Linked DNA regions of Drosophila melanogaster. The protein of the gene in region 2 purifies or fractionates together with the protein of the main gene of each other region. This does not show direct contact. Each region holds a gene or a part of one and is shown on either strand. Other genes may lie near its edges.

What was found.
Region 1: the proteins of igl (region 2) and Fer1HCH purify together in Drosophila melanogaster (affinity purification with mass spectrometry, with the first as the bait; one large-scale study listed by BioGRID). This does not show direct contact.

The regions. Positions count from the first base shown.
Region 1 is NT_033777.3:30,385,114-30,389,981, forward strand, and holds Fer1HCH (ferritin 1 heavy chain homologue), read right to left. Parts: upstream 2,507-4,868; 5' UTR 2,418-2,506; coding exon 2,351-2,417; intron 2,297-2,350; exon of another isoform or gene 1,999-2,296; coding exon 1,990-1,998; exon of another isoform or gene 1,771-1,989; intron 1,716-1,770; coding exon 1,605-1,715; intron 1,484-1,604; coding exon 1,206-1,483; coding exon of another isoform or gene 1,185-1,205; exon of another isoform or gene 1,144-1,184; coding exon 871-1,143; 3' UTR 689-870; downstream 1-688. Other genes in the region: Fer2LCH (ferritin 2 light chain homologue), read left to right, coding at 4,098-4,215, 4,303-4,329, 4,584-4,868. UniProt on the Drosophila melanogaster protein: Stores iron in a soluble, non-toxic, readily available form. Important for iron homeostasis. Iron is taken up in the ferrous form and deposited as ferric hydroxides after oxidation.
Region 2 is NT_033778.4:15,153,149-15,158,669, forward strand, and holds the start of igl (igloo), read left to right. Parts: upstream 1-2,288; 5' UTR 2,289-2,769; coding exon 2,770-3,067; intron 3,068-5,521.

The DNA.
Region 1 (4,868 bases), on a different chromosome or scaffold from region 2:
CAACTTCACCATTCCCAAAAACACAATTTCTTTTTCCTTAAACATTCCAGTTTTAAACACCTTTTTTACAGTTTTTTCGTTGTAAGTTGGCCAAAATATGTCACAAGGCTGAAAAACGCACTTTTTTAGTCAGCTGGGGTCCTCAGCTAAAGACCCATATCAATATTTGCTTTAATTTGGAAAAATAATTTTTCGGCCAAATTTCGCATTTTTTGTAAGGGGTAACATCATAAAAAATCGAAAAAATTTTCAAACCAAAAATTTCTCTAAATGAGTTACCCGTCGTTTAGGAATATTTTTACAAGTTCAACGAGGTATTCCACTCCACAATTGGACGTGTCTTTCCCAAGATATAGCACTTTTTCTGTGAAATCCCCATCGAAAATTATCAACAAGAATAAAATCACCCTCGTTTTCCATCTGAAAAAACTCCCTCAAAAACAAACGCATATACAGTTTATTTCGTTACATATATATTGTTATTTATTTAAGAACTTGCTCGTCTAATTGACAGAAAAATATAAAGATATAGGATGTATTGAATGGGTTGTGCTGAGTGTCTTACTATGCGAATGAGCGATTCCACTTAAGCCTAGGCGAAATCTCGGCGATTGCATAATGTGGAGCCCCCTCCCGAGGTGTACGGAAATCACAAGTGGTTGATAAGAAAGAACAGACGTGGAATTTTGCTGTGCTGGTTTGAGGATCGCAGTCGAACGGATAATTTATTGGCCAGTCGCCGACTTGGCTGGTGATGATTTAATAGCGGACCCTCGGGAAGGCTCTCTGGGCTGACAGATAACAGATAACTCGACTGGCTGATAATTTTGATGCGTGACTGGGCGCTGCGCCTTCTCTATCTCCACCTCCTTACAGGGTCTTGTCGAACAGGAACTCGCCCAGTTCGCCGTTGGTGTCCATCATCTTCTTGAGAGTGGTCAGCTTGCCGGCGAGCTCGCGCTGTCCGTGGAGCTGCTCCTCCAGATAGACACCGGTCAGGTAGTCCACCAGGTGGTAGTGGTTGTAGGGCTTGTTCTCGCAGGTCTGGATCAGCTTGCGGATGGACTTGGTCACCTTGATCTCCAGGTCGAGGGCGTCGGACAGGGCGGCGGCACCATCGGTCCACTCCTGCTTGGCCACAGTCTGTGGGGGATTCGCCAGGATTAGCTGGGCTTTTGGGTTTTCTAGGCGAGTCGTCGACTTACCGGCACATTGATCAGATCGCTGACTCCCTCGGTCAGTTGACCGCGCATGGACAGGTACTCCACCAGCTTGGATCCGTGCTCACGTTCCTCCTTGGCGGCCTTGAAGAAGTGCTCGGCGAATCCAGGGCGGTTGACGGTGTCGCGGGAGAAGTAGGCGCCCATGGCCAAGTACTGGTAGGAGGCGTTGATCTCCTCCTGGATCTGATTGCGCATGCCCTTTATGCAGGCATCCTTCATGTCCACCCAGTCCTTGGTAATCTCAGGAACAGCCAGGGAGCCTGCAATGGGATAAGGTTGGGTTAAGTCGGGGGACCACGATAACAATATATGGCTAGTATTCAGCTTTAAAAAATTTATTTTTGTAATCAGAACTTAGGTAAATTTTAATATTTTAAAAACCTTTGCACTCTTGGTCTTGACCTTCATGGCTTAGGTTTTGTTTTTCTTTTAGTTGATGCTCTTCTCGCTCCCTTTGAAGCTCTCTCACGAAACTCTTGCTTTCTTGCTTGGCTGAGGGGTAGGGCGTTGTTGGTTATTGCATTTAAGAGGGCGTAATTGCATAAACCTTTGAAATTGCGCTTGAAATGCCGCTATTCTAGGGCACAAAAACCGTGTGCAAAACTGTAATGGCCTACTCTCCCACTCTCTCTCTCTGTTTTTGTAACTGCATTGGTAACGTGCGCAGCTCTCGCCGCCATAGTAACGGCATTTGTTTTCGTGTAGTGCCGTGTGCAAAAAGCATGGTTCACCATGCTAGCTCACTCGGCCCGTAAAAGCCGTGTGCAAAGAGCGCCTTGAAATGTAACAACAAAAAGTCAAGCTTATTTATACCGCAATATTCATGGAAATGAAAGCGAAATTCGCATTATTTAATTATGAAAATTTATGTATAAAAACTGGTTATCATTTCCCCAAAGCGCAACGGAAGTATCAATAACTTTTAAATCAACTGGTTTGGTAACTTCACTTCATTGACGAAAGAGAGTGAAAGAGCGTCAAAGAGAAACGGCGCATGCTCTTTTCAACGCATTACAAATGTTTTGCTTCTCTTTGCGTATTGCGTCGAAATTTATTGTTTTTTTTCCGATGACCTGCCTTTGTTTTGTTTGAAATTCTGATGAATAAAACGTAACATTAGTACTTACACTTGAAATCTCCATAGGCCTGGGCCACCACGGCCAACAGGAGCAGGCTAGCAATTAGTTTCACCATCTTTGATCGTCGAACGTAGTCTTTACACAAAATCACAGAACAAAAATTTGTTTTTCACTTTAGTTTGATTTGCTTGAAATGCACAAATGAGAATGAGGCGACTCGAGTTGAGCTACAATGTTAAATAGGCGTTGAAATTGAAAATCTAGCTGCCTTTACACACACTGGCGCAGAAGGCGTCGCCTGCTTCAATTTGATGGGCTTGATTGGGATTATTTTCGACTTCTCGAATGCTTTCCAGTACCTTCTGCTGACAGCTTTAATCTGATTTTTCAGTGGAGCTAAGGCCTTTCTACGTTGTGTTTTAGCGAACTCGAAAGCGAACTGTCGCTCCGAACGGCGCACAAAACACTTTTAAGCGCGCGCGCTCTCGGTTTTTCTTCGTGTGTGTGTGAGTGATGGGAGAGTGTGCACTGTTATCTTTTCAACATGTCGCCCGTTCTTTGTTAACCGTTTAAATGGCTGATAATTGAATATTCCCGATAATTGCCGCACTCAATGTGATACACACGTCCTCAATATGGGTATACTTTGTATAAAGTCGGGTTTCCTAGTCAGATAATCCCCACTTACTAAGAAGTAAATTTATCAAATGCAATATGGCCGCTCTTTTGAGATGCGCATCAGCTGTTCTTTGTTTTTGTTTTGGCCGTGGGAGAGCACCACGTCATGTGTTGCCAGGCGGTTTAATTATTGCTGACAATTTAATTCACATTTTGTCAAGTTGATTTGCACGTTCGAAGGGGGGATCAGTCACCCACTTTGATAACTGCTAATATGGCGACGGCTCTTTTTTACGTGTCGCTTGCAGAGCTCCAAGAATGACACTTGATAAGAAGGATACATGGTGGGAAAACTTACAAATTACATAATTTGTTTGTTGATTGGGGAAACCCTACATTATCTCCGAACCCAGCAATAATATGTATTGTAAATAGCAACAGTCTCAAGCTCGATGCTGCTGTGAATTACCAATATATCAAAACTTAAAACATTATCTTAGGAGGTAGATGGTTTATCTGCAGTTTATTTTCAATTCTCATCGTTAGCTGATAAAACTCTCAGGAAACCACTTGAAATCCAAAGTGCAGCGTCCATATTTTGCACACGCTGACAACCCTGTCGTGAGTCACCTTCCAGCAGGCGCAGCAACAACAGCACTGGCAGCGGCCATATTTGAATGACACCGAAATCCCGCACTGAGCGCAAAACAACACATGCCCATGCACGCTCTCCAAAACCACACACACACAGCCATATCGATCGCATAGAAAGAGACGTACGCGACGCTATAAACAGCAGTTGATTTTCAGAGTTTCACCAAGAAGCACATAAAGCGATTGAATTATTAATAAAAGCACAGGCACTGGAAGTGAGTTTTAATATTACTAACTAACTACTTTGTGAGTGTTTAGTTACGAAAACTAGAAAATAATATTCTGGAAACTGTGTTTTTAAACCGACCACCATATAAATTTAAAAACCAAAACATTCCATTGGTGGTGGTTTTGTTGTTAAAAAAGAGCACAGAAAATTCAAGAAAACGCTACGACGCAAAACGAAAAAACTCGCCCAAAATGAAAACAAAAGTGTCTGTTTTCCAATTGTCAATTGTTGTGAAACTAATTTCCTTTGTTTTCGCCTCTCGAATTTGATTTTAATTTACAGTAAACCGTCGACATGAAATTTTTCGTTGCACTCGCTCTCTTTGCGTGCCTCGGCTCTCTTGCCTTGGCCAAGGATGATGAATATTGCCAGAACACTGTAATCACCGCATGCTCTACGTCAGCCTTTTCGGGTGAGTAAAGAGAGCGCCTCTAAGAGAGAGTGGCTAATCTGTGTTGTTGCTTTTTGTATCTTTGTAAAACATAATAATAAAAACAAGCGCTCACGGGCTTTTTCACAGGCAAGAGTAAGTGAAATATAGATTGGATGTATTTCTGCACTATCTCAGATTTCGTGAAAATGAACACTTTCCAATTCTTACTGCATTACGGCCCTTACATTATTATTTTAAAGATACAAATACAAATTCAAAATTCTATTGCCTTGTTTAGTATGGCACTACCTAGTTAGGAACCATTAAGACTATGTCATTACTATTGGATGTGCTTCTGCTCTCCTATTCTAAGAGTGTGATCTTTATTATTTGCTTTTTCCCCGTAGCCAACTCCATTTGTAATGCCCGTTTTGCTGGCATTGACCATATTGAGCCCGAGATCCAGTCCTACATCAACGCCAACTTGGCCAAGTCGTACGACTACCTCCTGCTGGCCACCCACTTCAACTCCTACCAGAAGAACCGCCCCGGCTTCCAGAAGCTGTACCAGGGACTCTCGGACCGCTCCTTCGAGGACAGCATTGCCCTGATCAAGCAGGTGACCCGTCGCGGAGGAATCGTTGACTTCAACACCCGCCACGAGTCTTCCGGCTCCGTGAGCACCAAGCGCG
Region 2 (5,521 bases):
TTTTGGGCCTAAGACTCTCGAGTCTCGAGACTCGCGTTGTCAGTCATTTTATCAGGACTTGAAAGGGTTTATGTGTCTCTGTCGTTTTTGGCCTCATGAAGTGGTAGTCAAGTGCCAAGGGACTTTGGAATTCTCGCCCTTGGATTTTGCCACCAACTTTGAGGCTCTTCTGTTTGTCCCGGCATTTTTGGGGTGTGCAAATTCACGCTTTCAAGGCTGTTTTTCCATCAGTTTCCGAGCGGCGACAAGTTCCTGCTCTTGTCCTGACCCATCCCGCTTTTGTTCGCCAGAGTGCAACTGCTGCGATGGGGACGAGATCCTCGCACTTAATTGCTAGCCTTTTTGGCATCCTACGTGCTCGAGAATGTGAATTTTAAAGGGGAGACTTAAATCAATGGCTTTGCAACAGCGATATTCTCTTATTTATTTTTCTTTGGCTCGATTTTCCAGCAATATAAATTTGTCTCTGTTCTTTTTGGAAAGCTCTTATTAAATTTGAATCGAAATTCAGAAAGCCCTGGTGGATTTTATGTCCATTGAAACTCAATTAATTTGTACAGTTTCGATTTTTTTGTAGCTTGACTATAGCTTTTATCAAGGCTGCACCTTTTAATGGACATGTTAATTAAATGGTCTCGCTTTAATTAATAATTTTATTGTGCTTAAAACAGAGCTCTCTGTTATTGGTACATATTTACCAATGCCTTTCAGCCTGTTTCTGCCCCATTTCGGGCTGTTTATTCTGCGCACTTATGCCACGTTTGCAATGTGAAGCTAATTTGCATATGCTCAGACATCTGTAATATAATAACATATGTACATACATATGCGGGATTCATTTTGTGGGTAAGCAAGGGAAGTTTTGATTAAAATTGGCCCAAGGCCTGCATATCGCCCACTTTACGAGTATTCGTGGCTTGCACTTCAACTAGACTATGCGCACTTCAGCTTGATTGTTATGGTACTATCTCTAAGATAAAAGGTGGTATACACAAAACTTTATTGCCATCCCAATTATACACTTTAATTCTAGAATTTATAATTTATTCATAAATTCCATACTTTTTAAATTCAAAAGTTCTAAAGCATTGCAAATTAAGTGGGAGATTTTGGGATACAATAACTAAGCAATACAGGGAACTACAAAGGAATCGCAGACACAATAAAAGCTAAACCAATTCATTTGTCTCACGCACACCATCGCAGCGTCTTCACTCATACATAAGCCAAAGAGCCAACTCCCAAATATTAATGCCAAGACAAAAAGGAAGCCAGATGACAGCTGAGCTGTACGAGATGCAAAAGCTAGTTGCTTTTATGAATTGCTATATATACTCAAGGGAGCGGCCGGTGCTCATTGATATTTTTATGGGCCAGGTTTTCTGCTTGAATATATATTCTTTTTATTTGCATTCATTTTGGCTGGGCTTTCTTCATTCAGCTGTTTGTGCCTGGTTACACGCAATGTGTATGTATGTGTGTGTGTGTGTGAGAGAGTCCTTTGGCCTGCGCTGGTGTGAGTGTGGCCATTCCTTTCTCGATGATGATGCCATTGCCTTGGCTGCCTTTGCCGCTCTTTGGATTCTGGTTGTGTTGCCACCACAACGGTTTCTGCGGCGCCTCTAAGCCACATTCCTAGCATGGCTGTGTGCGTGCGTATCTGTGAGTCGGATTCGGCAGTCGGTTTGTTTATTTGCGAAAAAGTTTGCAGCCAGCGCTGGCTAACAACAACAGAGGCAGCTGCTGCCGTTGCCGCCTGGATAGAGCCACTCTCTTCTCGGGTCTCTTTTTTAGTCCCTTGCTAAACAGTAGTATACATGAAGGAAAAATTATTTAGAATAAATATTTAGACAAAAAAGTCATTTATTTGCCACTTAATACATCGTTGTAATATTGTTCATTTATAAGAAGCTTATTGAAATTGAATTAATTCATTGATTTGTAGATCCCAACATAAACTTAAATATCATATCCTGATTTTGTGATTATTGCCAAAAAAAATCAGAGGAAAAGTGGCTTTTGTTTAACCATTTATTTTTATTTTATTTAATTTCTTTGAAATTTTGAGACAATTAAGTTCTACACATACATGTATAAACCATATATTTTTGCCCACTGTGAGTCCTGCGAGAGAGCGGGAGAGAGAATTCTCTCGCTTCCTATTCCTATCTCTCCTCGAGGTCCTGGCTCTCTGTTTCCCTGGGCTTTGTGTGTCGTTGCCTGCCGGCTGGCGCGTCGCTGCTTGTTGAGCTCGAAACTCCAGCTCCTGCAGGATGTGGGGATATCGGGCATTCGGGGTCCGTGGCATCCGCAGTGAGGACGCGTCGCCGGCGCCGTTCAGTGTCAAAGTCAGTTGTGCCTGAGCTTGTGCCAGAGACAGTCAGTTTCGCTGCGAGTCTGCCATCCAGCTGGTTTCCGCTTCCGGTTCCGTGCGAGTTCTTTGGCTAGTAAATTGTGGTTGTGCACCTTTTTCTAATGACTTTTGTAAACACCAAAGTTTTTTGAACAAAAAAAATTACCGAGGCACAACGTATTTTTGTAAACATTTAATGCGAAAAAGGTTTCAGCTCGCGAAAGTCAAAGTGCAAATTGGCCCAGAAACAACAAGTATCGTTTATAAACTAGTTTCCAGTTCGGATGTGTGTGTGTGTACTATAGTGTGTGTGTGTGCAATTGATTAAACAACACAAGGGTAACCTAGGCCAACTGGAAGCGTAGAGACTCCATCAAAAGCCGCGGACTAAATTGCCAAATCCTCGATCCAATAAGATGGGCTGCAACACCAGCCAGGAGCTAAAGACGAAGGATGGCGCAGCCATGGATGCGGTCAGCAACGGCGAACCGGAGCCCAGTGCTCCTCCCTTGGAGGGCGAGTCATCCAAGTCATCCGCTAGCAATCATACGAATCACGCCAAATCCAGTTCAATTATCTCCAACGGCGAGGCGAAGGCGGCCAACGGGGGCGGCGCAGTTGGCGGGGGGAGTGGCAAGTCGGAAGCAACAAATGGCATTGATCGTCCCTGCGACAAGGCGGCAATCACGGAGTTCAATGACGACGAGGACGAAGGTAAGGCCCGTTCAATCTCCGATATCCAATACATTCATATTAACGACTGTTCAACATTCGGTGTGCGTGCGTGTGTGTGGGTGCACTTGGAGAAAATGTTCATCACATCAAAGTGTGGTGATTTTCCTTACTTTCTGAATTAAGAAAAATCTTTACAGCTATAGTAAAAAACCGAAATTGTACAAATATTTAAAGAAGCGAAGAATAGACACTAAATTTTTTTTAGTTTATAGGACTTTTTTTCGGTGTCCTGTGTGTGTGCGGATGAATGAAAATCCTGTGTCCAGGGGTTCGAGTATTATTTACTGTATCAACACGCTGGGAGCACGGCGTTATCGCATTTGCCTTTTTTCTTTGCCACTTTTCCATTTTCCCCCAGTTTTCCGGGCTCCCCGCGGCCCGCTGCTTAATGGTGTCGCAAATATGAATTGTTTAAGTGTATACACATATATGTATATATAAATTTATATATAAAGGGATGTTTGCATTTGGATGTATACACTGCACTCCATTACACGCCACTACATCCGCAAGCGCTTTTATGCGCCCGATGGCAAATTTGTGTTAGGTCCTTAACTTTGTTAAGTAGCCGCCTCGTTGTCCCACAGTCGCCTTGGGCATTTTTTTTCCCCAATGCGCATTAACGTAGGTTATGCTCCTGTTTATGGTATCTAATAAGCGTAGTCAGAAGTCACTTTTATGGCCAGCGATATGGGCCGCAGGATAACACAAATTCCATAGCTTGCTTTTGGGGGCACAATTTAGTTTACGACATATGATTCGCAGTAAAGTGATAATAACGTTTACTTTGCTTGAAAGCAAAAAACCTTTAACGACATATCAAAAATTGTCTACTTTTCTATAATATTTGCTTACAATACAAAAATGTATAATTAATTCTATTTATAAATGTACACGTAAAGTTATGGCCTCATTTGTTATTCTTCTATTGTACGAAATTAAATTTTAGTTGGAAAAATAACTCGAATTATTTAAAACTTCTGCCATAATTCACTGGAAATTTTATATACTTGCCTCCTGAAAATACATACATATCCAATTATTTTCAATTTACTTAGTTATTCATTTAAATTTTCACCACAATAACTTTTTACTCAGCCCAAATTTGGATGCAAAGTTCGGGGCTAATACCATTTGCAAACCCCAAAAAAAGGAGGAACTTTGTGCGGTTTATTTGCTCCTTTTTGATATAATGAAAATATGAAAAACCATCGAGGTGCACAGCGTTTCCAGAGACTGACTCATAAATTACCACAGCCAGCTTTCCCTTGTGGCAGGTGCAGCAGTAGTAGTGGCAGAAACTGTTTGTTTTGCCGCCGTTTTCCGCACGTTTTCCCGCTCCCCTCCCAATTTTCATTTCCCAGTTTCCCAAAGGGAGTGCTGATAAATTGTATAGCGACACTTTATCAATGGCTGACTGCACGGGAAAAGTTAGCCAGAAAATTTCGCTCCCTGTTAATGCCACAAATTATTATTATTGCTTAGCAATTTTCCCGCTGCCAACAGCTTTTAATTTGCTGGTTTATGTGTGCTGCTCACTTGGTTTTCCTCGTAACATTTGCCTTGAAATTAACTCAGCTAATTGGGGCTTCTTGGAATCGCTGAAATATTCTGGATAATCCTTGAAAGTTTGTGCGTAGCAAGAAAATTAAATCAGTTCTTATATTCACGGTAAGGCTATTCAATATTCAATTTCATTTGGGCTGTAGTGGTTCATAAATATTCGCCAGCTGCCTTTTCTTTTTTACTTGCCATAAAGTTCCTTACTATAAAGTTTAGGCCGCTCCTCGAACTTTTTTGATTTTCCTCTGCAGCAGCGTAAAAGAAAAGCGTAATAAAACATACAAATAAACTAACGAAAAGAAGTGAAAACCCAAATCAACCATAAAACTGCCGCTCGGTTACGCCATTTATGCCGCCACCCAAAATATTTTGTTAAACAAACACGTAGGCTGTATTTCAAATTGATTCCGCTTGCGAGTGAAACGAAATTAAAAACGTAAATCCGTAAATGCTTAAGTAGAAACTGGGTAAATTTTCTGCGGTCTGTCAAATAATTAAGATATGGCGATGACGAGGTCAATTTCGTTTTATATTTCACTTCCCTTTTCCCCGTTTGGACACGCCCAAAGCGAAATTACCTGCGAATTGCGAATGGGCCAGGAAGGACATAAATTGGCAATAAAGATGTCAACTCATGCAAAGTATAAGCCCAAACAAACAGACACGAGAGGAAAGGCGACGGCACATGCTAAGTCCTTGCTAAGCTCCTTTTTAGTTGCCTTCGCTTAATGTGAAACGCAAATAAGCGCCCTCCAGTGTTGGTTGATCCTGCTCAAGACAAGCAATTAAACTCGACACACACACACACTAACTGGTTATAAGGAATTATCCCTACTACAAGATGCTCTATAGGGGATATTTCGGGTTTTA